Linked DNA regions of Elephas maximus indicus. The protein of the gene in region 1 interacts with the protein of each later gene in a pairwise test. Links are inferred from orthologs where the notes say so. Each region holds a gene or a part of one and is shown in the gene's direction. Other genes may lie near its edges. The genes, in order: PSMC6, PSMD9, C3H1orf216 and CRK.

Region 1 (7,869 bases):
ATTCTCTAAGTATACAATAAACTTAGAGTCTTAATTTTGGATACCAACAATACAAAAGTGTGCAATCAATGTCACAAAACAATTTGTGTACAAATTTTTGAATGAGAAAATAATTTGCACTGTAAGTTTTCACCTAAAACACACACACACACTAAAAAAAAGAAAAAAATTTTTTGATTTTTCACATCTAAAGAGATTGTTTACACCTTCATTTTGAGCCTTAAAAGCCAGAACTCCTAAGGACATACATTAGTTACTATTTCTCCCCTTTGATACAAATTACTATACAAAGAATAACAGACTTAGAGACTGCAAAGGCCAAAGGGACAGTTGCCAAGCAGAGACATTTAGACGAAAAGAAACAAACACACATACACACAAAACTTGAGAAGAAGAATCTGAAGCGTAACAAAGACAACCCATTCCCAAATGGGATTATAACCACAGGCATAGATGTTAGGTTTTATAACATATATGGGGAGGGGGGAGAACACAATTCAAGGTGTATTTAATTTTATTGTACTTTGTGGCTATTAAAAAAAAAAAAAACATAAAAATTATCCACTTGCTGACAGAGTACACTGAGACAACTCTGTTAATGGAAGCCTGGGAACACCAATCAAAGATTCTATAAGGCTGTAAGCACCATTCTAAGGACATGGAACACTTAAAGCTATTTCTGCTTTAAACTTTTGGCCTTGCTAGAATTTTAAAATGTTCTCAAATCACCCAAAGTATGGCAACCAATACAAAAGTATTTCTTCCAATCACTTTGTTCAAAAAAGCCTGGATTACAGCCGGCATTCAGAGATAATGGTCTCAGTGTACAGGTCTCCAGTATAACCTGTGTCAAAGATCCCTCTGACTAGATTTTAATCCTGGGCTTATTTCCACCAACCACTGAATATATTACCAATGATGTCTCTCCCATGACAAGGCCACTTCAGTTAACAAATATAAACCATTTTTCAAATTGACCTAAACTCTATGGGGCAGTTCTACTTTGTCCTATAGGGTCGCTATAAGTCAGACTCGACTTGACGGAACTGGGTTTGGTTGGTTGTTTTTTTTTTTTAAACATGACACTTGACAGGTAAATCTGACATAATACATGTATGTAGACTATCATGCATTCCAAAATGCATCCCATGTGCTTGAGAGTAGTCGTTTTGGATTATCTTTCATTATTGAAAGATTATATTTAATTATATATAAAAATACAATATTTCATTATTATTATTGGGTTAACTTTCATTAGCCTGAAGGAAAGCTACTACACTCAATTAAATGGCTCTGACTGTGCAGTTACGCAGTAGCCACATTAATACTGAGTACATACGAGTTTACAAACTTGGTTCTAATTAATTTAAATGAAAAAAAAAAGTCCATATTGCCTCCATATCTGGGCTTCAATATTTCTTCTGAGGTTATTTCTTTAAGATGCATTCTGGAATTTCATGAATGTGACTAAAATCTGTTACATTTCATTCTCTCTAGTGATACATAACGAAGAAACCCCTATGGATCACGATGGTCAGATCTGCAACCGATCGTGGAGATGGCACAGGACCAGGCAGTGTTTTGTTCCATTGTGCACTGGGTCACTGGGAGTTGCGCCAACTCAATAGCAGCTATAACAGCAATAAGTAGCTCTGAGGGTCTTTCACTTACTTTAAGTCCAACCTCATTACAACAAATACTACAAATACTATTTTGGTTTAAAGAAAGGGCTGACCCTGATTATGAGGTGATTACACAAACCTATGCATGTGTTAAACTTCATAGACTCGTATGCCAAAAGGAAAAAAGAAGTCAATATTGCTGTGTAACAATTTTTTTTAATTTTTAAAAATTAAATGGCATTTTTTCAAAAACAGGGGATCATATATAAGGAAGATTTACAAGTCCCAGAAAATTGATCACTTAGCAACTAATACTAAAGCACTGATAATAAAAAGAATTTACAACATACGGTAAAATTGGTTTTGGTAGGACTTGACGTTAAACAGAAGTAGCCAACTAACACATATACATAATAAAAATAATACATAATAATAAGCAACTAAATTTAAAGAATAATTTCCAAACCTTAGGTGAAAGTTTAGTTCTTAATTTAGTTTTCTAGCAATATGTACTTTTTAAAGTGTTTAGGATGCCTCCTACCCTGCCCAAAAATGAACATTATTCACTAAACTGAACTCTTCAGGGCAGGGATCATGCCGTAGTCATTTCTGCATCAAAAGCACTCAGGTCAATGTACATAACGTTTATAAACGCTTGTTGAATGAATAACTTACGCCACTCATCTCTATTATCTTCATTTCTCCTCCTTCCCCCCTCTCTCTCTATATCCATGTTTATATGCTTGTCTCTATTTTCTCTTCATGTCTACACATCCTCCTCCTTTTCCCTCTTGTCCCCTCACCCTCACTCCTTTTACTACTGGCCATCAAAAAACTGAAATACATTTTTCTTTGTTTCATTTACTGAATTAAAATTTATGGTCTCTGTTCTTAAGTTTTGGTTAAGTTTGGTTTTTGTTCTTAAGTTTTTTTTCAAGTAGATGGTTTTAAATTTCTCTCAAAAAAATTTTTTTAATTATGTTATCCTCAATTTATTATCTTGTAAACTGACCCTGAAAAAAAAAAAAAAACAGATAGCAAGACTTCTTCTAGAAGGACAGGAAAAGGGCCTAATAAATAGGCTTTTGTTTTGGGAGACTATTTAAATCTGAAGAAATTGTGGTGGAGAGAGGCCTAATCACTGATCAGAAAATAAACGTAAAAAAGTAAAATGACCCAATTTTAATTAGACATCTAAAAAAAAATTGGGGGGGTGGAGGGAAAGTTGAAGGACTCAACTTGTACTTTTATTCCATTACCCAAATCTCTAGAATTTAGTTGAAATGTTACATTAAACATCTTCTTTCAGCACTGAATACCTAATTTTAAGGTTACTTATTTTTTAAATGTTTAAACTTTGTATTACATTATATTTGTGATCAGAGAAAAGGGACCTTTTAAGTACTTGTCTGTGTACTGTTTGCTATCACTGAATACACAGGAGCTTTGAAACCTCTGGTTGTAAAGCTGGAATTTACCCTCAACTTCCCTCACACATTCCTAGTTAACACTGACCTCAACTCCCAAATCACTCCACAAAACGACAAAATCCAAAAATTTGAAGGAGACATCTTTTTCTCTATTTGAAGCACTTTTTTCCATTATAAAATAGCATCACGCCCCCACACACATAATATGTTATTTCTAACAATAAGTTAACAAGAAAATACACTTAAAAGGAATAATTTGGATACCCATCCCTCAGTTTCATATGAAATTTAATTTTTATCAGCAGAAGCCAACCAAAAAGTGGCTTTAACAAGAGTAATGATACTGAAATACTATTACTGTAAATACCAGAAACCTGTACATTTCTTCAAATTTTTTGCTCAAAAACGTGTAAACCAAGCCCATTGCCGTCGAGTCGATTCTGACTAATAGTGACCCTATATGACAGAGTAGAACTGCCCCCATAGGGTTTCCAAGGAGCACCTGGTGGATTTGAACTATCGACCTTTGGGTTAGCAGCCCTAGCTCTTAACCACTACGTCACCAGGGTTTCCATCTTTCACTATAGAAGAAAATGACCCTAATAAGCTTGTAACTAAATTTGTGGGTTGAGGAGGAGGACCATCTTCTTATTTCAAGCCAGTTAAATGGGTTTCAAGGTTAAATGACATTACATTCAGGAAAAAGAAACCACACACACGGCGAGGAGCTACAGGGCAACCGCAGCACCTAAGAAACCAAGCAGTTCGGTTTAGACACAGAAAAGTCAGGCGTAGCCATTCTCCTGCCTGACAACGAATTCTGAGAGCAACTCCCCTACAAAAGCGTGTACTGGCCAGAAAGGAAGGCACCCAGCTCAGGTACAGCGCACACAAGTCCCAGGTCAAGTTAGAAGTTAGGAAGACCTGAGTTCTGTGAAAATAACAAGAATACTGGTGTTGTGCGCGCACATCCTCCCCGGCAGGACCGATCAACAAAGAGGCATAAGCCAAGTCGGTAAAAAACACACAGCGTGCACTACACTCCTCTCCCCGCCCCTGATGCGAAGGCGACCTGCAGAGGACTCAGCCTCAGTCAAGGAGCAGAAGAAGCAAACGGGTCTCTGTCCAGGCGGGAAGAACTGCAAGACCGCACTCCCATCCGTTCACCTGCCGGGGCGCGCGCGGCGGAGCGCACGACAGAGTCGGGGGACGCGGGACTGGTAGGGACGCGCAGAACCCTCACCTGGCAGAAGCACCTCTGCGCCGCTGTCTCCGGGGGCTCCTGCCCGCTGTGGCCCGAGCCGAGCAGGCACACGGCGCCCAGGAAGCCGATCAGGAAACCCCAGCGGCGGCCCATACCCGCTCCGACCGCTCGTCGCCCCACGCTCGGAGTCTCCAGCACTCGGCCGCAGGCCCTGCGCCCTCAGATAAGCCCGCGCGGGCCGGCCCCGGCAGAGCCCCACCTCCGGGCCGCCTCCCAGGCCCGCCCTCGGCTCTCCCTCCTCTCAGCGGCCGCCACCTCCGGCAGAGCCCGAGGACGTGCGGCGGCGCCCGCGCCGGCCGCCTTCGGCCTAGGACCGGCTTCCTCCCCGGCGCGTGAGGTTGACGCACCAACCCGCTTCCCTGTTCGGCTCCGCCCGGCCGGCCGCGCCTCCTCCCCGGCACTTTGACGCCCGCCCCAGCCCCTCGACGCCCCTGGCCTGGAGACTTGACGCGGCTTGGCCGCCCCGAGCCCCGGGGCGAGAGTCGAGGGTCCTCCCAGCTTCCCCAGCAGAGCGAAAGTCCGAGAGGCCTGTGTTTTCCCTGCAGGGCCGCGCCCCACCCCTGCTCTCTCCTGGCCAATCCTTCGATATTTCATTGCAAGGAACTCAAGCCGTACAAATTACGTGTCCATCGTGTCCCTGGCTTAAAGCGCTGTCCAATAAAAGTATAATGCGAGCCCCATGTGTAATTTAAATTTTCTAGTAGCCACATCAAAAAAGAAGCAGGTAAAATTAATTTTAATATATTTTATTTAACCCACAGGTGAAAATATTGTTTCCAAGTATAATCAACATTAAAATTATTCATAAAATATTTTATTTTTGTCTTTGAAATCCAGTGCTTATATATTATACAGACTAGGCACACTTCATAGCCACAGGCGGCTAGTGACTACCGTATTTGGACAGTCCGGATGGAGACCACCCTCTCATTTTGGAGGACGGAACAGGACCAGAGAGATGAGGTAATGTGAGCATGGACTAGGAGCTGGGTAGTGGTAAAGCCAGGTCCTCTGATTCCCAGTCATGGTCTTTTAACATTCAGCCGTGGATTTAGTCTATAAACATTTTTTTTTTTTTAAGGAAATTTCAAGGTGAAATTGGAAAGCTTTCTAATTTCTTGCACATTAAAGGTTCAAATATTTTTTTTAAGTGTATAGATTTTTTTTTTAACCATCTTTTAATGAAGTAGCTTAAGATATGCTAGGCCCCAAATAGGTATGCTCCTGTTTTCTAGCTGAGAAAATGGGCACAGAAAGCTTACATGTTATTCAAAATCACATGGCCATGCCAGGGAATAGGTGATTAAGTGGAAGAATTCTTGCCTTCCATGCGGGAGACCCAGGCTCAATGAACCTCTTGCGCAGCCACCACCCTTCCATGGAGGCTTGCCGTTTTGCGTGTTGCTATGATGCTGAACAGGTTTCAGGGGACCTTCCAGAATAAGAGGAACTAGGAAGAAAGGCCTAACGAACTATTTCAGAAAATCAGGAAGTGAAAACTATGGATTACAATGGTCCAATCAGCATCTACAACTGACCATGGAAATGGCTGAGGATTGAGCAACATTTGATTCAGTTGTGCACGGGACTCTCCATGAGTTGGACCAATTCCACAGCTAACAGCAAAATGGTACAACATGGTAGAGGTGAGATTCAAACTCATATATCGTACTATTACAACCTATGCTCTGTCCACCACTGCCAAGCAAACCAATATGAAGTAAAAAGTCACTAGCCATGGTGGACCTGAGAAGCTCTGGTTCTAACATCTACAACATGCCACACCCAAAACTAAACCCACTGCGTTGAGTCAATTCCTACTCATAGCAACCTCATAGGGTTTCCTAGGCTATAAATCTCTACCGAAGCAGACTGCCACATATACTGCATGTACATGTTAATACAATTTCTGTAATTACCTGTAAAGCCCTTTTTATACAGCTGTTTGTTTTTTTTTTCGTATACAAATCCAGACCCAGATCACATGTTCTCTCCTCCAAGAGGTCTTCCTGGTTTCCTCTTCACCCAGTTCCAGCCTCTAAATGAATTTCAATTCAATAAACTTACCTTATGCCAGACTGAGCTTGACACTGGAGAGAGAAAGATGTATAAGGCCCAGTCCCTGTTCCAGGAGGGACACCTCATAGAACTTAGCATGTAATCTTTTATGGCATTTTCTACCACTGAATTGTAAACTCCTTAAACTCCTTATAAGCAGGATATATCTCAAGCATACCTATGACTTCCAGAGATCCTAACACGGAGCCTGTCTTTGCATGTGTTTGTGGAAATGAATATCCTCCCCGTGGTCATCATACTAATATCTGAAGATTAGAGAGTAAAAAATGAGAGACACGAGAAGAAAAAAGACTAGGTGAATGAAGCCTAAGAAGGAAAAAAGGAAGCAGTCTGAACATTAATCAAATCAAGATTTCACCCTGATGCAACAGGTCGTAACCTCGGGCAACTTAAAGTATTCCATAAGACTCAACTCTTGCCCAGAAAAAATTTCTAGAAACTTATCATTGGAAACAAGCTCCATATAAGATATTTTTTTTACTTTATTGTCTTGATAATTATAGTTTTCCATTCATATTTTTAAGAGATTTTAGAAATGTAAAATAGTTCTATCCATGTGGTGTGAATCTTACTGACGTTTCCCTGAAAATACTTCAAGTCGGTCTTTGTGTGAGTCTACAAGTTCAACTCTTCGCACTCTGGCAATCATCTCACCTGTGTTAGGTCTCATGAAATAACTGATTAGTCATTCAATAGCTATTTAATGAACGCCCACAGGGTACATAGTTCAACCTTTGAGTTTTTAAATCGCATCCTGAACAACATTAAATTTTTTAGAGATGAACAAGAACAGAACCTTGTTATCCTAACACTAGTGATTATAACAATAACATAACTTAGTTTTAATGTACACAGCATTTCTTGATGGAATTCTGATTACTGTGCAAATAACAGCTTTTTTTTTTTTTTTTTAATGACGAAAGCAGGAAATGGCTTGAGCTCAGTTTCTCAAAATGAGACATGGAGATTTCTGTGGGAAGTTTCTTAGTACCTAAATACTTTCTGGTAGTGAGTAGACTGGAGTAAAATAATTCAAAGGAAAAAATTTAGCAAAGAAAAAAGGAATATTCAGATACAAAAGGAAGAATGGCTAAATAAAAGCCTGAAGGTATAGGGTTTACAACGCGTAGGGAAATCACATCAGATGGCAAAATGGTAGACAATCGTACAATACTGGGAATCATGACCTAGACAAGCTGACAGATACTTTTGGGGGACACAACATAGTTGATTAGATCTGTTTATCTAATTAATATTTATTGTGTATAAGTGTGTACATGTACATGGCTGGACTTTTCTCTCAAGGTCCTTAGAGTCATCTAAGTTGGAGAAGCATATCTCCTAACTTCTATCTTCACCTTCTGTCGTGGATTGAATTGTGTCCGCCAAAAGTATCTGTCAACTTGGCTACGTCATGATTCCCAGTTTGTATGATTGTCTACCATTTTGCCATCTGATGTGATTTCCCTGTGTG
Region 2 (7,297 bases), on another chromosome or scaffold:
CATAACGCAGGTTGTTAATGAGTCTTCCTCCAATCGTGATGCCCTGTTCTTCTTCGTGTACTCCAGCTTCTTGGATTATTTGCTCAGCATACAGATTGAATAGGTACGGTGAAAGGATACAACCTTTGCACACACCTTTACAGACTTTAAACCACTCAGTGTCCCCTTGTTCTGTCTGAACAACTGCCTCTTGGTCTATGTACAGGTTCCTCATGAGCACAATTAAGTGTTCTGGAATTCCCGTTCTTCACAATGTTATCCATAATTTGTTATGATCCACACAGTCGAATGCCTTTGCATAGTCAACAAAACACAGGTAAACATACTTCTGGTAAGATCCATCTGACATCACCAATGGTATCCCTGGTTCCACGTCCTCTTCTGAACCCGGCCTGAATTTCTGGCAGTTCCTTGTCAATATACTGCTGCAGCCACTTTCGAATGATCTTCAGCAAAATTTTCCTTGCATGTGATATTAGTGATATTGTTTGATAATTTTTCCATTTGGTTGGATCACCTTTTTTGGGAATAGGCATAAATATAGATCTCTACTAGTTGGTTGGCCAGGTAGCTGTCTTCCAAATTTCTTGGGATAGACGAGTGAGCACTTCCAGCGCTGTATCTGTTTGTTGAAACATCTCAACTGATATTCCATCAATTCCTGGAGCCTTGTTTTTCGCCAATGCCTTCAGAGCAGCTTGGACTTCTTCCTTCAGTACCATCGGTTCCTGATCATATGCTACCTCCTATAATGGTTGAACATTGACTAATTCTTTTTGGTATAACGACTGTGTATTCCTTCCACCTTCTTTTGATGCTTCTTACGTCAGTTATTATTTTCCCCATAGAATCCTTCGCTATTGCAATTCGAGATGAATTTTTTCTTTAGTTCTTTCATCTTGAGCAATGCCGAAGGTGTTCTTCCCTTTTGGTGTTCTATCTCTAGCTCTTTGCACATGTCATTATGATACTTTACTTTGTCTTCTTGAGCTGCCCTTTGAAATCTTCTGTTCAGTTCTTTTACTTCATCATTTCTTCCTTTTGCTTTAGCTGCTTGAGGTTCAAGAGCAAGTTTCAGAGTCTCCTCTGACATCCATCTTGGTCTTTTCTTTCTTTCCTGTCTTTTCAATGACCTCTTACTTTTTTCATGTATGATGTCCTTGATGTCATTCCATGACTTGTCTGGCCTTTGGTCATTAGTGTTCAATGTGTCAAATCTATTCTTGAGATGGTCTCTAAATTCAGGTGGGATATATTCAAGGTCATATTTTGGCTCTCGTGGACTTGCTCTGATTTTCTTCAGTTTCAACTTGAGCTTGCATGGAAGCAGCAACCAAGAAATCAAACGACGCATTGCATTGGGCAAATGTGCTGCAAAAGACCTCTTTAAAGTATTGAAAAGCAAAGATGTCACTTTGAAGACTAAGGTGCGCCTAACCCAAGCCATGATATTTTCAATTGCCTCATATGCATGTGAAAGCTGGAGTATGAATAAAGAAGACCGAAAAATTGATGCATTTGAATTGTGGTGTTGGTGAAGCATATTGAATATACCATGGACTGCCAGAAGAACGACGAAGTCTGTGCTGGAAGAAGTACAGCCAGAGTGCTCCTTGGAAGCGAGGATGGCAAGACTACATCTCACGTACTTTGGACGTGTTATCAGGAAGGAGCAGTCCCTGGGGAAGGACATCATGCTTGGTAAGGTAGAAAACAAAACCAAACCCAAACCCAGTGCCGTCAAGTCGATTCCAACTCATAGCAACCCTATAGGACAGAGTAGAACTGCCCCATACAGTTTACAAGGAGCGCCTGGCAGATTCGAACAGCTGACCCTTTGTTTAGCAGCCATAGCACTTAACCACTATACCACCAGGGTTTCTGGTAAGGTAGAAGGTCAGCAAAAAAGAGGAAGACCTTGGACAAGATGGATTGACACAGTAGCTGCAATAATAGGCTCAAGCATAGCAAGGATTATGACGATGGTGCAGGACTGGCCAGTGTTTTGTTCTCTGTGTTGAACCAACTCGAGGGTGCCTAACAATGGCATGATCTAGATAAAATGAGTTCATATTCAGATTTCACCAGTTGTCCCAATAATGTCTTTCAAAGCTGTTGCTTCTTAAAAATCTATCCAATCAAGGATCATGCATTGCATTTAGTTGTCTTACCTCTCTCCTTTCGTTGTCAATGTAAGAAATGTTAATGTATTTAAAAGCAATCAGTTGAACAAAATGTAGGAGGCCTAATGTAATTGATGGAGCCCTAGTGGTACAGTGGTTAAGAGCTACAGCTGCTAACCAAAAGGTTGGGAGATGTAGCCTCTCCTTGGAAATCCTATGGGGTGGGTCTACTCTGTCCTATAGCATTCTATGAGTCAGAATCGACTAGATAGCAATAGGTTTGTTTTGTTTTTGGTTAATGTGATTGGTTCTACTTTTTTTCTGTAAGAGATGATTGTTTGATTCTGAAATAATTTCAAACTTACAGAAAAGTTGCAAAAATAGTACAAAGAATGTTTGTATGTATTTTACCCAGAGTCGCCAGCCCTTTACATTTTCCCTTATTTATCATACTTTCTTTGCAAATACAATTCACATTTTCTTTTGAAAACATTTGAAAATAAATTGCCCCTTCCGCCCCTAAATAATCGGAGTGTATTTTCTAAGGTCATTCTCTTACATGATCACAGTGCAAGTATCAAAATTAAGAAACTTAACATTGATACTACATATACCCATATTCATAGTTTCTCTAGTTATCCCAATAATCTTTTACGGTTGGTAGGGGGAAAGGTAGGAAACCAGAATCCAATCAAGGATCACGTATTGCATTTGGTTGTTTCATCTCTTTAGTGTCCTTCAATCCAGGCAATTTCGAGCTTCCGTGTGTGTGTGTGTGTGTGTATGTGTGATTTCACAACATTGACCTTTTTTTAAGAGTTCAGGCCAGTTGTTTTGCAGAATGTCCCTCAATTTGGCTTTGTCCATTTGTTTTCCTATGATTAGATTCAGAGTAAGCACGTTTGGCATGAATACTACAGGTGATGTCCTGTCCTTTCGGTGCAAACTGTTACACAGCACACGTCAAGATGTTAAATTTGTTCATTTGGTTAAGCTGGGTTGGGATTTTGGCTTCACATTTCACAAGTTGGGCAAGTTGGTTAGTGAGTCAGTTTTCTTGTCTTCAAATGAGTAATAATAATACTGGTTTCATGAGCTTGTTGAATACATATAAGGCACTTAGAATAGTGCCTGGCTCTTTGCAAGCATTCAGTAAATAAATTATTAATATTATCATCACTGCTATTTTTACCAAACTGTATGTTGGTGTATTAGTAGGTGTGTGGAGTTGATTTTTGACTAACAGTCAGAAAATCATGTTCGACTCATAGCCACTCATGTGACACAGTAGAACTGCCTTCATAGGTTTCCTATATGCTGTAATGTTTACGGGAACAGATCACCAGGTCTTTTCTCTCACAGAGCAACTAGTGGGTTTGACCTTTTGGTTAGCAGCTGAGCGCTTAACCATTGCACCACCAGGGCTCCTTCCAAAGTGTATCCTGTGCCCTTGCTGTTGAGTTGATTCTGACTCATAGCGACCCTGTAGGACAGAGTAGAACTGAACTGCCCCATAGAGTTTCCAAGAAGCTCCTGGTGAATTTGAACTGCGGATCGTTTGGTTAGCATAGTTCTTAACCATTATGCCACCAGGGTTTCCTCCAAGGTGTATAAAGACCTAATATGCGCTGTGCCCCATGCTGCACGTTCTTTTTCATTACTTTTTCATCCCTCCAGTGCAGGGCGCATAGGAGGCATCTAAAGAGTATTGTTGGCTGACTGACAACTCTGAGATAGATTGCTATCAATATCGCACCATTTTACAGATGAAGAAACTGAGGCTCAGACAAATGAGGTGATTTACCTAGTGTCCCATAGATTGCCAGAAGTAGCAAGAACCAGGATCTGAACCTAGATTTGTCAGATCTATTGGAAAATGGGGGATAAAGAAGTGAACTTTTGTTATATTCGTCAAGGGCTGTACAGATGTGAAGGTCTGAATTGCAGCGCCTTGCACAGTGCTCTGGCACATACATGCAGTAGGTGCTCAATAAATGCTTCAGAAGTCCCCCGGCTTCGGTAGGGCGGGGACCGGGAATTCCAGGCGGCTCCACGCCCGGGTGCCACAGAACCACGTGTTCCACCAGGGTGTGGCTTTCTGTGACCCCGCCCCACCACCGAAGCCACGCCCTTAGGCTCGCGCGCTTAGACAGTTGGGGTGTTTTGGCCCGCAGGGGGAGCCGTAGCCACAGTCTCCTCAGGCGTCCGTATCCAGGGAGCGGGGTGTCCAGAGCCCTGGACCAAGCTCCAAGATGTCGGGGAAGGACCGTGGCGAGAGCGAAGGCGCCCCGCGGGCCGGCGCGGTGACAATCAGCGACATCCAGGAGCTAATGCGGCGCAAGGACGAGATCGAGGCGCAGATCAAGGCCAATTATGAAGTGCTGGAGAGCGTGAGTGTGGGCCCCGGCTCCCGGCCGGGCGTGGGGGCGCCCCGAGGCCTCCTGGCTGCCACCCGCAAGCCGGGGCGGCCTCGGCCCTGGCTCTTAGCCCTGGAGCTCGCCCTTCCTGGGAGGCCCAAGGCGCTGCAACTGCGGCCTCTGTCGGCAGCAGGCAGCACCGACAGATAACGTTAACAATAATAACAACGTTGACAGGATGGCAAGCGCGTGTGGAGCCCTTACTGAGTGCCAGGCGCTGTCTTCAGTGCTTTACATCTGTTAGGCCATTTAAGGCTCCCACCAGGCCTTTGAGGTTATTACTGTTAGATGCTGTCGAGTGGGTCCCCGCTCATAGCGACCCTAAGTACAACAGAAGGAAACACCGCCTGTCCTGCGCCATCCTCACAATCATTAACGTTTCAGCTTATCGTTGCAGCTGCGGTGTCAGTCCATCTTTGTTAAGGGTCGTCCTCTCCTTTACTGACCCTCTGCTTTATCAAACATGATGTACTTCTCCAGGGACTAGTTCCTCCTGATAGCGTGTCCGAAGTATGTGAGATAAAGGCTGGCCGTCTTCACTTCTAAGCAACATTCTGGCTGTATTTCTTCCGAGACAGATGTGTTCATTTTTCTGGCAGTCCATGGTGTATTCAGTATTCTTCGCCAACACCGTACCTCGAAGGCATCTTCCAGCTTTCACATGAATATCAGGCAATTGAAAATACCATGGCTTGGGTCAGGGCACCTTAGTTTTCAAACCGACATCTTTGCTTTTTAGCACTTTAAAGAGGTGTTTTACAGCAGATTTGCCCAATGCAATACGTTGTTTGATTTCTTGACTGCTGCTTTCATGGGCATTAATTGTGGATCCAAGTAAGATGAAATCCTTGACAACTTCAGCCTTTTCTCCGTTTATCATGATGTGGCTTATTGGTCCAGTTGTCAGGATTTTTGTTTTCCTTATGTTGGAAAAAAAAATATTTATTTATTTTTTTTTATGTTGAGGTGTAATCCGTACTGAAGGCTGTGGTCTTTGATCTTTGTTAATAAGTGAAATAATAGTGTCGTTTGAGGTGGGTACTATTTCTCCCATTATAGGAATGAGGGAACTGAGGCATTCTTTAATTTAAACTTGCCTGAGGTCACAGAACTAATAAGTTGTGGAGAGGGTGGTGGTCACCACCACCATCAGTCCTTGTTGAACGTTTACCAGGGTGGTGTGCTTTGTTAACTATCTTACATTGGTGTTTCTAACTTTAATGAGCATTAACGGAGGTCTTGTCAAAATGCAGGTTCCGAAGTACAGGGTTGTGTGGCCAGACACTCCGTTTCTATCAAAGTCCAAGGGGATGCTGCTGCTGCAGGTCTAAGGACTGCACTTTGAGTAGGAAAAAGCCTGTTGGCCTCCGAGTTGATTCTGAGTCATAGTGACCCTACAGGGCAGAATAGAACTGTCTCATAGAGTTTCCAAGGAGTGGCTGGTGGATTCGAACTGCTGACTTTTTTGTTAGCAGCCAAATGCTTAACCACTGCGCCATGTTCTGTACTCACCTGAGTAGTACTGGTGGCGTGCTGGTTAAGCAGCATGGCTGCTAACTAAAGGTCTATGGTTCAAACCCACCAGCCGCTCTGCAGGAGGAAGGTGTGCCAGCCCGCTTTTGTAAAGATCATAGCCTTGGAAACCCTTTGGGGCAGTTCTACTCTGTCTATAGGGTCACTGTGAGTCCAAATCCATGACAGTGGGTTTTGGTACTCACCTGATAAAGGGGGCTTATTGCTACGGAGGAAACAGGTTGCAAGTGGGGCACACCTTTGCCCAGGATCGTGCAGCTTGGAAGTGGCAGGGTGGGGCTTGTTCCCAGGCCTGTCTGGCTTCAAAGCAGTTTTTCCTATGCCACCCACTGTAAAACCAAACCACAAGTCAATTTGCAGGGGTCAAGTAAATCAAATACATCTTATATAGGACAAAATGGGGTGCATTTTAGGTGGTGGAAGTAAGCTGAAGTGTCACGTGGAGGCAGGGTACTATTTTACTGGTGTTAACTGTATGCCTGAACAGTGCTGCTTTTCGTGTGCATTAAATCGTGAAACCCTCACAACTGCCCATGGAAGTTGGTGTGTTCTCCTGAAGCTTCAAAATGGGAAGTCACTTGTTCAGAGTCACAAAGTGGCGTTCAGACTTCAGGGCTGTTTAGTCCAGAACCTGTGCTTTCAAGCTCATGCCAGCAATTTCTCCAAAGTCAGTTACTTTTCTACCAGATGCTGAAATCTGTATGCTTCCTTGCTGTTAGTCTCTTGATTTTTTTTTTTTAAAACTGACATTTTCTTTACATTTCTTAAATTTAAGAAAATCTTCTTTTTCTTTAAAGAAATGTATTTTAAAAGGAAACTTTATATTTCTGCAGCATCTGGAAAACCAGAATCTCTTCCCTTATATATAAGGTAAAAATGCCGAGCAAGGCGACAGAAAGTGGTAATTGCCTCCAGCTAGCTCCTTTGCTTCCTGAAGGCTTTCATCTTGAACCTTTCCTCTCTATTTGTTGGAAAAGAAGTAGAGAGCTAAAACTATAAATCTCTTAAAATAAAATAGGGGGGTAAATCTTCCTGATCTTGAGTTAGGCAGAGCCTTCTTAGATATGACACCCAAAGTACAAAATCAAACCAAAAAAAGAAAGAAAAAAAAAAGGATAAATTGGACTCATTAAAGTTAAAAACTTGTGCTTCGAAGGATGAAATCAAGAAAGTGAAAAGCCCCCTTTGTCACTGGGTGGTGCCTGGCTGCCGTCACTGAACATT
Region 3 (7,762 bases), on another chromosome or scaffold:
GAGGTCATCAGCTTCCTAAGCCTTCCTTTCTTGAAATGAACCAATTCCGGGGAATGATTTTCCTTCTAATCTGCCTTAAGAGCTCTCTGGTGTGTCAGGAGCCCTCTAAGACCACCTGGTTATGGGAGCCCGAGTTACAATGTTCACAGCTATAAAGTAATAATCTTCAAGGTATGTGCACACAGTGTCTTGCTTTAGCCTCCCCACAACACAGTGATGATAACATTATTATTATCATGTTTATTTAACCCATAAAGGCTAAAATTACTTGCCTAAGTTCCCAGAGCCTTGTAGGAAGTTGGGCTGATGATATGGGATCAGGAAAAGAGAAAAAACCACGTAGCAATAATGTTGTTTGTACTCCAGGACTAGATGTGTATGCTTTGTTGTGGTGTGGAATTTTTGGGAGGCTTCCTCAGTTATCTCCTTACTGCCCACAGGATGAGTGAAGCCCAAGCTGCTTGGAATGGTAGTCAAGACTTTTCACAACCGGGCCGACTTTAGCCTCCAGCCTAGCTTCCCACCTCCATTTTCCCCCAAGCTCCAGGCACACTGGCCACTCAACATTCCCTGAACACACTCTAATATGCAGTCTCCTCTGCCTTCTCCCACTGTCTCTTGCTGAGCTTCTACTCTTCAAATATCACCTCCAAGAAGCCTTTCCTTGCCTTCCTTTGTGTTCGTTACATTTGTCTTCTACCTCTGTTGCAGGACCCATCACATTGTGTAGCCCACTTTTTTCTGTGTCCATTTCCCTTTCTAAACTGGGAGCTCTCCGTGGCCATGACCAGGTTCAATACCTGGCACAATGTAAGTACTCTGTAACTGTGTGCTGAATGTGAACAAGTGGATGGAAAGGGGAAAGCTCTCTGAGGCTGAATCACCTTGATCCTTCCCATCCCATTCTTCCTGAAAGTATTGGCATTGAGAAAGTATCCACTTTATGCCTGTCTTACTGCCTGGAATAGAAATTCCTGTCATCTTCCCTTGTTTCCTTGCCTGACACCCCTGGCCCCTGGGGCTGGATCTGGCTACTCACTGCTAGCCTTCTTGATTCTAGTATCTGTCTGCTTGCCAAGACACCTACCCACCACCCACTGCTGGATTTTCAGGATGAGCTGGCTTGCTGGCACTGGCCACCACTGGTGATTTCTGTGTCCCTGCCAGTTAAGTCCCTGGCATGTATGTGGGTAGGTGGACAGGGCTACAGACACCCCTTCACTTGGGGTGATTGATTCCCTGGCATCATGACTGGGAAAGCCTATTGTGAATGAATGACAGACATCTGTAAATCTGCTTTTCTGTGGCTGTGCAGACATGGATGTCCCTACCTTCCCAGGGCTTTTTGTTCTCCTGGCTCCTACTTCTCTGAAAATCATGGCATAGCGAGGACCCCTGTCTGAGCACTTAACACATGAATTATGAAGTGCTAGAGCATTCCACACAATGTTGCCCTTGACTAAGAAGAGAGACCACAGTCTGATGCCCTTGAAGTTCATTTGTCTCAACACATATATGGTTATTTAGAAGCATCTTGCTTTATAACAAGGGAATGACCAATTGATGATTCAGCTTGGTGACAGCCAGGAAAAAATACCCGGTGAGTTTGGGGTGCTACTTGGCAAAGTACAATACAGGCTTTAACTCAACAATCAAATATACGATAGCTCTTCTCTCATAGCTACCATACATACCAAGAAGTGTAAGTGGGGGTGGCATGCTATGCCCACTAATGCACCTACTGACTCAAAGAGTTTGCTTCCTGTCTCTGAGATTCTAGGTTCTCCTTATAGCGAGGTTTAGCATCTAGGGGGAATGTTTCCACCAGGGAACACAGAAATGATACCACTGCCTTTCAGGTACCTCATAATATTAGATAAATAGAAGAGAAGGGGATCACAGTGTAGGCTGGGCAGATTATGGCTGTCAAGGGGGAATGGAGTCGCTACTACTAAATGAGGGCCGAGAGGTGCAGGAGTGGAACTCACGGGACCCCTGGGTTTCCACCTTGTGCTATTGCATTAACCAGGATTCTTTTGGTTGCCAGTGATGGAAATCCCACTCAGGTTAGCCTTGGCAAAAGAAGGGATTTATTGGAAGGTATACAAAACTACTTGGTAGGCCTCAGGAAACCAGGCCTAGAATGTCACCAAGACTTTTTTCTTTTATCTCTGCTTCTGTGTCAGAATCATTTTCTCCTACTACAGATTGACTTCTTCCACTCCGCAGGGAATATGATTGCTGCAGCCTTAGGCTCACATCTTCCCTGTTTTAATTTCATTTCAAAACGTCCCAGAGAAAGACTCAGACTGGCTCACCTGCACTGAGGTTCCTATCCCTGGACTCTTAGCTCATCACTAACCCATTTAACTCGTGTGGTTGGAGCAGGGAGAGCCAGAAGAAAAGGTAGGAGGCAGCTGTTCTGGGCAGGCCCAACAATTCAATGATCACTATCCCTCTGTGGTAAGGGAAGACCAGAACAACCGTAGACCACAAAAGGCTCAGGGCCCTCAGGAGTTAGAATCTGGGTCACCTCATAAAGAAGAAAACCCTGGCTAAAGGCAAGGAGAACTTGGAGTGAATAATGGAAAGGGAAGACTAGTTAAGCTTCAGAGTCCCTGGGTGGTGAAAACGGTTAATGCACTTTGCTGCTACACAAAAGGTTAGAGGTTTGAGCCCACCCAGAGGCACCTCAGAAGAAAGGCCTGGTGATGTACTTCCAAAAAATCAGCCATTGAAAACCCTATGGAGCATAGTTCTACATGGCGTCACTACGAGAACTGGACCCTATGGCAACTGATTTAGTTAGACCTCAGGACCTGATGTAGAAAAGGGGCTGTGCTCTCCATCTGTACTTTCTTAGCTGGGAGAGTATCCAAAGATTGAGTTACCTCTGCCTTTTCCTTGTCCCTCTTAAAATAGGATTTGTCATAATTTTTTCCTCTTCCATTCCCTCTGGAAGAATGAATAAGAATTAATCATAACCTGTTGCCATCACGTCGATTCCAACTTATAGTGACCCTATAGGACAGAGTAGAACTGCCTCATAGGGTTTCTAAAGCTATAAATATTTATGGTAGCACCACCAGGGCTCCTCCCGTAAGTACTACAGCCTAGGAAACTGTATGGGGCAGTTCTACCTTGTCCTATAGGGTCGCTATAAGTTGCAATTGATGACTTGATGGCACAACAACTTCCTTAACACCAGCCAATGCTTTTTGGTTTTATCATTGTTGTTGTTAGTTGTCATCCACTGGGCTCCAACTCATGGTGACCTATGAGACATTGCCTTATCCTGTGCCATCTTCATGATCGTTGGTATGTTTGAGTCCATTGTTGTGGCTGTTGCGTCAATCCATCTCACCGAGGGTTTCTCTCATTTTCACTGAACAAATATGATATCCTTTTCTAGCAACTACCCTTTGGTTGGAAACAGGGTCCCCATACCCTTTTTGAACAAACAAATCTCTCTTAGAGGAAGTGCAACCAGAATGCTCTTTGGAAGCAGGGATGGCGAGACTGCGTCTCACATACTTTGGACATGTTTTCAGGAGGGATCAGTCCTCAGAGAAGGACATCATGCTTGGTAAAGTAGAGGGTCAGTGAAAAACAGGAAGGCCATCAAGATGGATTGACACAGTGGCTGCAACAATGGGCTCAGGCACAGTAACAATTGTGAGGATGGCGCAGGACCCGGCAATGTTTCATTCTGTTGTGCATAGGGTTGCTATGAGTCAGAACCAACTGGACAGCACCTAACAACAACAGTAACAAATACCCTATACATTTTCGCCAAGGAGGAAGGGAGTGAGGGGAATCAGGCTTCATGAAGATGAGACTTGGAGAAGAATCCACTGGGGTTCGGAAACCTGTACTGGATACCCTATTCTACCTCTTCACCTGGGCAAAAGTACAGGAGCCCAAGAGTAAAAAAAAAAAAAAAATTTTTTTTTTTTTTGGAGGTAATTCCCCTACTTCGGAGGGGAAGCCATCTATCTGGGCTTGGTTGCAGGGCCTTAGTCCCAAGTTCTGCCCCAGAGTGGATTTTTTTTCTTCTCTTAAATCTTTCTTTAATGATTTTAATAATCACAGGATACATAATTTCAAATTGTGACAACTGCTATGAAGAAAAGGAATACAGTGACCAGAGAGGATATAAAAAGGGGAACTAACTGATCTAGGGGGTCAGAGAAGGATTCCCTGAGAAGAGCTCTAAAATGTGAGCAGATCAAAGAAGAAAGAGAATTTAAGGCAGAAGGAACAGTGTGCAAAAGCCGAGGGGCAGAAAGAAGCCAGGGGCCCCACTGTAGAGATGGAGGGCAAAAAATGAAGCTGTCCAGGCAGACAGAGCGCAGGACGCACAGAGAGCCCTGCGGCAGCCGCCCTAAGGTTTCCCCTGCAATGGGAAGCCATTGAACAGTTTTAGGCAGGAGTAGCAGTAACATGATCAGATTTTCATTTTGAAAATATCACTGTCTGCAGTGAGGTGAAGCAATCGGAGGGGCCCAGTGCCGTTAGACGATAAAATTGGACGTGGAAATCCTCAGTAAAACCAGCCCAAGGCGGGGGAAGGCGGTTCCGGCGGCCCCAGCGCGCAGCTCCACGGAAAACCGAACCGGCTCACGTGGGCCACCGCCCCGCCCCGCCCCGCCGCGCTGACGCCGCAGACACTGTAGCGAGGGCCTGGGGCTGGGCGTGCCGCCACGGACCCCGCAGCCCACGTCCCGGCCAGCGTGGACGCCCAGGCCGAGGGATCCCCAGCCCAAGTCGCCGACTTCCCGCCGGGGGTCCGGAGCGGAGCCGGAACCAGCCGCGCAGGGCCGCGCCTCTGGGCCGTGAGTCGGGGCCCGGGGAGAGAGGTGGGCTCAGCCTCGGGGAGAGGGGGCGTCGCAGCCTCGGCCCAGCTGCCTCCTTTGGGGAGATTAGGGAAGGAGGGTCGCTATCCTGTCTCCTGGGAGTAGCCTCCCTCTAACGCAAGGCTCGGCAGGAAGGGAGTCCTCCTCCAGGGTAGATTGCGAATTAGCTTGGGGAGAGGCTTGATCCTGGGGTGTCTGAGCTACTAATTTTGCCATCTCTGAGAACCCGTGATTATCCCCACCCCATCTTCCTTCAGGGCCCATCCCAGGCCTAAACCAAAAAACCAAACCCGTTGCGGTCCAGTTGATTCCGACTCAAAGGACAGACTCCTATAGGACAGAGTAGAACTGCCCCATAGGGTTTCCAAGCAGCGGCTGGTGGGTTTGAACGGCTGACCTTTTGGTTAGCAGCCTGAGCTCTTAACCACTGTGCCACCAGGGCCCCACCCAGGCCTAGGAAAAGTTTGAAGGAGGGAAGATCTCCATGCACCTTTCATAAGCTTTGCCTAGAGGGATTGGGGGTGGGGTAGGGAGTGCAGGTGACAAAGGAACTATCCCTACACCGTTCCTTCCAGGACTTCTGTCTCAGCTGGATGTGGGGAGGGTTCCTGCCACCTTTAGAGATCCTCCTAGTGCCTGTGCCACATACAGTATCCCTCACTCCTACTGATCCTCAGTTTTTCTAATCCCAGTAATGTGTGGTCAACAGGAACCTCTTTTCAATTCAAACCCTAATTTTGGTAGAAACCAGTTATTGGAGAGGAAAGAGTGGTGTGCCCTGCTTGCCCTCCTGGGCCTTGGGATGGAGCAAGCCAGGCGTCGGGACTCATGATAATAGACATATTCCAGGGGCACTGGGAGGGAAGGGGGCTCTCAGAGGAGAGCTTGTCAAGGAGTGGGCTCCCTGGGGCAGAGGAGGGAAATGGACACAGCTCATCCCGCACTTAGCAGTCAGTGTTAACCTCCTGTTACCTGCACCTGGGAATCCCGCTGCAGCTCCCTCTCCCCAGCTCACTCACTCAGGGAGTACATACTGACACCTGCTAAATGCCAGGCTCTGCACTGAGGCCTGGACGTGTAACCAGCTGCCAGTTGCCATCTAATTGATTCTAACTATGGCAACCCCATGTGTGTCAGAGTAGAACTGTGCTCCACAGCATTTTCAATGGCTGTTTTTTTTTTTTTTTTTTGGAAGTAGAGCACCAGACCTCTCTTCCAAGGTGCCTCTGGGTGGACTTCAACCTCCAACCTTTCTTTCAAGTAACAGCTAAGTGCATTGACTGTTTGCACCAGCTGGTGATACAATGCAGAGTCTATCGAGGAGCTCCCACTGTAGTCCAGGAGCAAGATTTACAAGGTATTATTGTTTGGAAACCCTGGTGGCATAGTGGTTAAGTGCTACGGCTGCTAACCAAAGGGTCGGCAGTTCGAATCCGCCAGGTGCTCCTTGGAAACTCTATGAGGCAGTTCTACTCTGTTCTATAGGGTTGCTATGAGTCAGAATCGACTCCACGGCACTGGGTATTGTTGAGCAATAGTTAAGAGCTCAGCTGCTAAACAAAAGGCTGGCAGTTCAAATCCACCAGCTGCTCCTTGGAAATCCTACAAGGCAGTTCTACTCTGACCTATAGGGTCACTATGAAGTGGAATCGACTTGATGGCAATGGGTTATTTACAACATAGGTAAAAAAAAAAAAAAGTTGAATAGAGATTTACTGACCATCAGCCATGTGCCAGTGACAGGAAACAAACATGGATAAGACAGTGTATACCCAGGGCAATGGGGACCCAGAGGAAGGCATAGTTAAATGTGTGCATGTTTTTGTGTATTGGGAGGAGTAGGGGAGAATTATCAAGGAGGCTTCAGACAGGTGGGGATATTAGAGCTGAGCTTTGAAGTGGAAAAGGAGGGGCTTAGAGGGAAGGAAAGAGGAAGGGTATCAGAAGCCAAGGAGAGTAATGGTGTGTTTTGAGATTTCTGAACAGTTTAATGGGATGTGAGGGGCAGAGTGGCAAGAGGCAAGTGTGGAAGGGTGAGTAGGGGCTGGATCAAGCAGACTTGTGTAGGCCATATAGCAGTTTAGCAGGAGTTTAGTGACAGCACGTAGAGCTGTAAAAAATCAAATTTACATTTTTAACTACAGGCAGAGAGACCAGTAAAAGGGCCGTGGCAGTAAGAAGTTGTGGGTAAGAGGTAACCTGGATCAAGTGAAAGTGAGAGCAGATACATGTACATAAACACACACAAAGTTTTAAGAGGAACAATCTACAGAATTTGGTGGCCGATTAGAAGGGGGTAGGAAGAAGAGTGAGATGTCTAGGATGTTCCCAGTATTCTGGCTGGGGTTATTGAATGGCTAGTGGAGCCGTTTGCTGAGGCCACTGAAGAGGGAGAGCTGGTTTGGACACACAGAATTTGAGGAGCCTGGGGGATGTCTAGGTTGCAGGATCGGATGGCAGTTGGATCTGAGGTGGAGACAGATTTGGGAGTCACCAACGTATGGATGGTTCTTGAAGCTACAGTAGAGGATGAGGTCATCAGGGGAGACTGCATAAAAATGAGAATAGAAGGACACCTGTCTCAGAGGGCTGAGGACACCAGTGTTTAAGGGATGGGTAGAGGAAAGTCTATGCAGGAGACTGAGAACAGTCAGAGAGGGTGGGGGAAAACCACAAAGGGAAACGGACTGAGAAGGAGCAGCCAGGCTCATGCTTACTACCTCACCCCAGCAGCTAGGTTGGTGTGACTTCAGGCACCCCACTCTGTCTTTCCGTGACTCATTCTTCTGCTTCCCCCTTACAGACCAGATGTTTGCCATCCAGCCAGGGCTAGCTGAGGGGGGCCAGTTCCTGGGGGACCCACCTCCTGGGATATGTCAGCCCGAACTCCAACCAGACAGCAACTC
Region 4 (6,968 bases), on another chromosome or scaffold:
CTGAGAGGAGTGAGCATGGGGAGAGGATGGGAAGTGAAGACCAGGCACACTGACGTCTCTCCTCCTTCAAGTGTTCTTGACTATCTCAGCTCCATGAATGTAGAGATGAGGAAGGCATTTGTGTGAGCAGCAGAATTTCGTAAAGAATGGAGGGCAGTGAGAGGGCTTTATATTGCAGTGAAGCAAACAGCTCAAAATTGAGTATTTTGCATCTTCATTCTCAAAAGTCTTGCGGTCATGTTGCCACTGGGAACATCTTGCTGATATTTCTGGAAGATCCAGCCTCCCGCCTGTGTTCCCAGCCCCCTCTCTTCCCCAAGACCCTCCTTGAGTTCCCTCACATTTCTCCCCAGAGCTTTCCCCCAGTGTCTGTCTCCAGGCCCTACCTTTCCACGCTTTAAGACTGCTGCTTGTCTCTGCAGAACTAAGGCCTACCCATGTGGGGTGGGGTTGGTGGTAGGGGTGGGAGTGGGAGGGACATCACAGACAAGCATGCACTTTGAAAGGTGATACTGTTGTTTTTTGCTTTAAATAGCAATTTTTGTCATCTTGATACAAATAAACTTGTTCTGCTTTTTTTTTTTTTTTAAAAAAAAAGGAAAGTGAATATTAGTAACCCAACTACAGAAGCTTCATGTACACAGTATCTTGGAGTTGTGCATTGCACACAACCTGCCCAGCTATGGTCACTTTAGGGGACACAGAGCAGGCAGGCAAGCAGGCTGTTGACCCCTGCTGTACCTCCATTGCTAAAATAAGGAGGTTTAGGGGGTAGAGCGTGGAGTGGAGGACTTTGGTGTCTTTTCCTCTTGGACTGGGCAGCCTTCCCTTTCTTTCCCCCTGTATATCTCCTTCAGGTAACTCCTTGCCTCACCTCCCCAGGCCCCACACACAGAGCCTTTCCTAAGCAAGGAGGTCTCTTTCTTTGTAGGACAAGTCTCAAAGCTTATCAGGAGGCAAAAACCTAAATATAGCTGTAAATCTTTAATTATGAAGGGGAGAGGAGGAGGAGGAGAGGAGAAAGGAGGGAGGGGGCAGGGTGGCTTGCTCACTTCTTTCACTAATGACTTTGTTTTCCCCCAAGGCCACTCCTGTTCCTACATTCCTGCCCTCTGCCCTCCCAGGAAGGACCCACTTGAGTGGCTTCCTGGGCTGGATCTCTCCTTCTTGCCTACCCCCCCTTTGTTTGTTTTCCAGCTCATTTATGATTTCTTTCCTTTTTAAAAAATATTTAAGTCATTTCCATGTGCCCTGCGGGTGGGGGAGGCATGGCTTCAGACTCTCATAGGCAGTCTCTGAGTCAGGGCCTGTCCCTCAGTGCCAGCATTCTTGTAGAAATGAAGAGCAGGTGCTTCTTCTCAAAGGGTCAGAATCAGGCTCGAGTGGCTTCTGCTGCTGGCACATGGTGACGAAGTGTGACTAAGCCGGGGTTACAGTGAGTCACACACAGCTGGGAAGGTGTCCCCTCCCCATGCTACCCAGAGTGGGCCCAGGGGTGTGTGACGTGGACCTGGAAGAGCTGTGTTATTCACATGAGCCATAACCCAGGGCTGACTGATTTTTTCAAAATACAGATTTGCCCCCCTCCCCAGGCCCCCACCCAGTTTCCTATCCCAGAGGTCTGAGGATATAGCAGAGTGATCAATAGCTCTGGTTGTCCTCCAATTTGAATCCCAGCTCCTCACTCAGCAGCTGTGTGACTTTGAACAAGTCACTTAACCTCTCTGAGTTTTAGTCTTCTCATCTGTAAAATGAGGCTAGTTGTACAATACCTACCTATAAAGTGGCTGCAAGTATTAAATGTCATGATCCATTTAAAGTCATTTAGTACCATGCCTGGTAGGTAGTAAGCCTTGAATAAACGTTTAGCTGTTATTAGGAAAAAGGAGCCCTGATGGCATGGTGGTTAAGTGCTCAGCTGCTAACCAAAAAAGTTCGGCGGTTTGAACCACCATCTGCCCCACAGGAGGAAGATGTAGCAGTCTGCTTCTGTAAAGATTACAGCCTTGGAAACCCTACGGGGCAGTTCTACTCTGTCCTATATGGTCACTATGAGTTGGAATCAACTCTACGGCAACAGGTTTGGATTTTGGTGGGTTATTATGAAATGTTTAGGAGTGTCTCCTAACTAGATGCTGGGCCTTTGAGAAGCTCTAGCATGGGGTACAGACAGAGCTGTAAGTGAAAAATTACAGTACGATGGTACAAAAGCTGTAAGGAGACAATATGGACACAAAGCTGTCAGGGCAGAGAGGGAGTGATGGGTTGATCAGAAAAGGGGAGACGTTTGAGTTTGAGGTTCCATAAGGGGTGAAAGGGCATTACTGGGACAGGGGGTTCACACAGGAGCAGTTAAGATGAGGCTGTGGCCCAGCTTTATGCTGTGAGTGAAGCTGGCAGTTTTAACATTTGAAGACTGTTAAAGGTTTCACGCGGAGTAGCAAGACTCAGACGGACGTTTTAGAAAGGTCACCCTTGGCAGCAGTGTGGGGGGCAATTAAGAGCACAAAGACTGAAGCCTACCAGCAAGGAGGCTCTTAACAGTAATACAGAAGCGAAGTGATCCTGACAGTGGCGGTGAGAGGGGAAGACACACACGGGCACAATTTAGGGTTAGAGGAATCTGGGCCGATAACTTGAAAGCCTCAATAGTGAGAACACCATACTTCTGCCTGGCTTGCCACACCACACTCTGTTCCCTTTGACTTCAGTGCCCTTCCCCACTTGCCATTCAACATTCTGCTCAAGCCTCCCTCCCCAAACTGAATTAGGGAGCCTGTTCTGTGTTCCTAGAGCCCCAGGCTTGTTCCCCATCCTAGCATTTGGCACTCCATTGTCATTCTTTCCTGGCTCCTCCCACTGGTCTGCGAATTCGGTGAGGGTTGGGCTCAGCCTCGGTCACCTTTGCACCCACCTGGCAAGTGTGCTGTTCGCTAAATGAATCAATGAAAACAAGAACTTAGCCAGCAGAAAAGGCCCGACGTCTCAGGGAACCTTGCTGAGAGCTCAGGTCGTGGGCTCACATCTACCTTTTTTTGTTTTTAATTTTTATTGTGCTTTAAGTGAAAGTTTACAAATCAAGTCAGTCTCTCACACAAAAGCTTATATACACCTTGCTACATACTCCTATGAGTCGGAATCGATTCGATGGCAACGTTTTTTTTTTTTTTTTTAACATACTCCCAAGTGCTCTCCCCCTAATGAGACAGCCCGCTCTCTCCCTCCACTCTCTCTTTTTCATGTCCATTTTGTCGGCTTCTACCCTCCTCTTACCCTCTCATCTCCCCTTCAGACAGGAGATGCCAACAGTCTCAAGTGTCCACCTGATCCAAGAAGCTCACTCCTCACCAGCATCCCTCTCCAACCCATTGTCCAGTCCAATCCATGTCTGAAGAATTGGCTTGGGGAATGGTTCCTGTCCTGGGGCAACAGAAGGTCCTTCTAGTCTCAGTCAGACCATTAAGTCTGGTCTTTTTATGAAAATTTGGGATCTGCATCCCACTGCTCTTCTGCTCCCTCAGGGGTTCTCTGTTGTGGTCCCTGTCAGAGTAGTCATCGGTTGTAGCCGGGCACCATCTAGCTCTTCCGGTCTCCGGCTGGTGTAGTCTCTGGTTTATCACATCCACCTTTTATAACCCCAATTCTGTTTCGGAGTCACTGCCTAGAAGTCCTGGGCCATCCAGTAACTTGAAGCCTAATGGAGCGAAGAACCGCGTAGCCAACAGCACAAAAACAAACCTCTGGGGACCGCTGGCTGGGGCCCCGCCCCTTCGGCCCTAGACTCCACCTCTCCATCTTCTGCAGTTCGGGTCCGAGCCCGGCGGCGACGCCCATGAGGCCGCATGCGCAATGCATGCGCAATGCGTGCGAGAGGTCTCTCTTGCCCTTCTCCCAATGGCGGCCGGCGGGCCCCTTCCCGGCAGCCTCTCTGAGGCTGGGAGCGCGTCATTTCCGGTGGGGAAGGCCCGCGGCCGCCGCCGCCATTTCGGGCGCTGCTGTGAGACTGAGACCGGAGCCGGTCCGCTCGGCGGCGGGCGCCGGGGCTGGAGGGGTGCGCGCGCGGCGGCCGCGGCCCAGCGTGTAGGCGCGGAGGCGGCCATGGCAGGCAACTTCGACTCGGAGGAGCGGAGTAGTTGGTACTGGGGGCGGTTGAGCCGGCAGGAGGCGGTGGCGCTGTTGCAGGGCCAGCGGCACGGGGTGTTCCTGGTGCGGGACTCGAGCACCAGCCCCGGGGACTATGTACTGAGCGTCTCCGAGAACTCGCGCGTCTCCCACTACATCATCAACAGCAGCGGCCCGCGCCCCCCGGTGCCGCCGTCGCCCGCCCAGCCTCCGCCCGGTGAGGGACACACGGGACGGGAGGCCCCGGGCGGGGGTGAGGGCCGCGGAACTCTCCAGCCTGGCCGGCTGCTTCTCGTGAGCTGGCCCCCACGAGGGTCGTGGACAGAGGGCTGAAGCGACAGGGGCAGTGGGCAGCCTACTGCTGGAGCTAGTTCTCAACGGAGAGCGGGAGTGTGTGGGGGAGGAGGAGCGGCTGACCGAGGCCTCTGGGTGTGACTTGGGAGGACGGCCCAGGGGAAGGGGAACTGCTTCGGCCCCAGGGTGGGGCTAGTGCCCGGGCCAGTGTGCAAGGGCAGGGCGGGACAACGTGGGGACAAAGAGCTGAGGGGGATGTTGGCACTGCGGGGGCATCACTTGGCAGCGGTACCCAGAATGAATTCGATAATCCTACAAGTGGCTTTTAGGCTAGAAACACTTCCTGCTGTGTTGGAGAGCCAGGTTTGGCCATACTCCCCTGGTGGCCTTTGGTAGGAAGTCACCCCATACCGGTCAAGAGGGATGGAGACACCCTCAGGAAACCGGTCAGCTTTTTCCTTTCTTGGGCATTTTTCCAAAAGTCTTTTACCGTCCTCTTCTCCTGTGGAGGACGAAGGTGATTAGCTAAGTGCCTTGGTGATTGAAGAAAGCCCTCTGAGACCAGCCCAGAACAAGTTAATGCTTGGCTGACTGTATCCAAGAAATCTTAGTGGCCAAAAGACTGTCCTTCTCTGCAAGCAATGCATAGGGGAGAAAGAGTTTTTCAGAAAATAAACCAGAAATAAGCCAATGGAAACAACCTCTTCCCTAAAAGTGAATGGATTTCATTTTTCCTTGAGCTTAAACATTGTTAGTCTTGTACTTCAGGGCCCCTTCTTGCTCAGTAAGTTGGGGCTGTAGCCTGAGTCTTCATGGAAATTGGGAACAAACCTGGCTGGATCAGATTTTCTGAGTGTTTAACTACACTGGTCTTCCTTACCAATGATCACTGAGATTTAGTCATGTCATTGAAGTTGTTTGAGGAGTGTTAATGGAATTTATGCATTTAGTATTTGAGAGTTGTGAGGTACAGAGTAATTCTGCGGTTAGCATTATCTGTGTAAGAGGACCAAGAGTCCTGATGCCTTCTCACTGTTCCCAAGTTGAAGTAGTTATCCTCCTGACCAACTGAGATTAGATCCAGGCCAGTCTTATATGAATTAGGAGGTTCCAGAGCCAGCCTTTGCAGGCCGGCTCTTTTACAATAGGCCTAATTTAGACTGACAGTCTGGCCAGAAAGGGGGAGACAGGATAGGCAATCTCTTTGTTATTAACACATAGCAAGTTAGAAAATGAGTATGAGGTCTTTAAGTCCATAAATTTTCCTAGATCTTTCTCAGTCTAATTGATTTAATATAATTAAGCATGAGATGCGAGTATTGATGTACCATCATTTGCCCTAAACTAGATTGGAAGCCCTAGGGGCAGCATTACTGCCTTACAGGGTCGCTATGAGTCAGAATCCACCTGATGGCAACGGTTTTGGTTTTGCTTTTAGGTGTATTCTGCTTTGATGCTGCCTGCATGGTATCTAAGGTTTGGTATCACATACAGTAACGTGGAGGCAAACTCATTGAAGTTCAGTTCTTAACATTTTGTTTGTGTGTACGTTTTGTTGGTTACAAAATTTGGAAATGGCAGCAGGTTGCTTTTTTAGTTTGAAATTTCTCCATACCTTGGCATTATGGTTTTATTTCCCAATGCTTACCTTGGTATGGAGCTCCACCTTTTCAAAACAGATAAGAGTTTAGATCCTTGGCCCAGGAGAGAAGGTGAAGATTGCCAGAGTTTGTGGATGGGGTGTGGAAAGTTCATGGGCATTGTGGTAATGCCTGTTTCTGCAATGCACTCCATATTCTATGCAGGGTAATTGATTCAGTTGCTGTCTTTATAAAGATTACTTCATCTCTGTTGTCCTCCTCTCCATTGAGCTGTATTTCTTTTGAAACCATACAGAAGAATTTCTTGAGTTTTAGAGAGGCATATACAAAATTAATGTTGTTGTTAGGTGCTTTTGAGCCGATTCTGACTCATAGTGAACCTATGTACGACAGAATGAAACACTGCCTGGTCTTGTACCATCCTTATACTCATTGCTGTTTGAGCCCATTATTGCAGCCACTGTGTCAATCCATCTCGTTGAGGGGCTTTCTCTTTTTCATTGACTCTCTTCTGTACCAAGCATGATGTCCTTCTCTAGGGACTAGTCCCTCCCGATAACATGTCCACAGTACGTGAGACAAAGTCTTTGCATCCTCCCTTCTAAGGAGCATTCTGGCTGTACTTCTTCCAAGACAGATTGTTCTTCTGGCAGTCCATGGTATATTCAGGGTTCTTTGCCAACACCACTGTTCAAAGGCATCAGTTCTTCAGTCTTCCATATTCAGAGGTTTTGCATGCATATGCCCCAAAAACCCTGTGAGGCAATTGAAAATACCATGGCTTGGATCAGGCACACCTTAGTCCTCAAAGTGAGATCTTTTCCTTTTAACACTTGAAGGAGGTTTTTTGCAACAGATTTGCCCAATGCAATAATAGGTTATTGGATTTTTTGACTGCTGCTTCCATGGGCTTTGATTGTGGATTCAAGTAAAATGAAATTAATAGCTAAC

The links.
Region 2: the proteins of PSMC6 (region 1) and PSMD9 interact in binary tests that used the Homo sapiens proteins (3 or more experiments, as listed by UniProt). The two-hybrid records come from large-scale screens. The link is inferred for Elephas maximus indicus from reciprocal best matches to the Homo sapiens genes PSMC6 and PSMD9.
Region 3: the proteins of PSMC6 (region 1) and C3H1orf216 interact in binary tests that used the Homo sapiens proteins (3 or more experiments, as listed by UniProt). The two-hybrid records come from large-scale screens. The link is inferred for Elephas maximus indicus from reciprocal best matches to the Homo sapiens genes PSMC6 and C1orf216.
Region 4: the proteins of PSMC6 (region 1) and CRK interact in binary tests that used the Homo sapiens proteins (3 or more experiments, as listed by UniProt). The two-hybrid records come from large-scale screens. The link is inferred for Elephas maximus indicus from reciprocal best matches to the Homo sapiens genes PSMC6 and CRK.

What each region holds. Positions count from the first base shown.
Region 1 is NC_064828.1:64,960,065-64,967,933, forward strand, and holds the start of PSMC6 (26S proteasome regulatory subunit 10B), read left to right. Parts: upstream 1-4,868; 5' UTR 4,869-5,040; intron 5,041-5,153; 5' UTR 5,154-5,279; intron 5,280-7,869. Other genes in the region: ERO1A (ERO1-like protein alpha), read right to left, coding at 4,296-4,409. UniProt on the Homo sapiens protein: Component of the 26S proteasome, a multiprotein complex involved in the ATP-dependent degradation of ubiquitinated proteins.
Region 2 is NC_064840.1:8,177,003-8,184,299, reverse strand, and holds the start of PSMD9 (26S proteasome non-ATPase regulatory subunit 9), read left to right. Parts: upstream 1-4,297; 5' UTR 4,298-4,375; coding exon 4,376-4,513; intron 4,514-7,297. UniProt on the Homo sapiens protein: Acts as a chaperone during the assembly of the 26S proteasome, specifically of the base subcomplex of the PA700/19S regulatory complex (RC).
Region 3 is NC_064821.1:77,046,248-77,054,009, reverse strand, and holds the start of C3H1orf216 (UPF0500 protein C1orf216 homolog), read left to right. Parts: upstream 1-4,751; 5' UTR 4,752-4,835; exon of another isoform or gene 4,836-4,859; intron 4,860-7,659; 5' UTR 7,660-7,664; coding exon 7,665-7,762.
Region 4 is NC_064837.1:20,224,122-20,231,089, forward strand, and holds the start of CRK (adapter molecule crk), read left to right. Parts: upstream 1-3,962; 5' UTR 3,963-4,098; coding exon 4,099-4,339; intron 4,340-6,968. UniProt on the Homo sapiens protein: Involved in cell branching and adhesion mediated by BCAR1-CRK-RAPGEF1 signaling and activation of RAP1.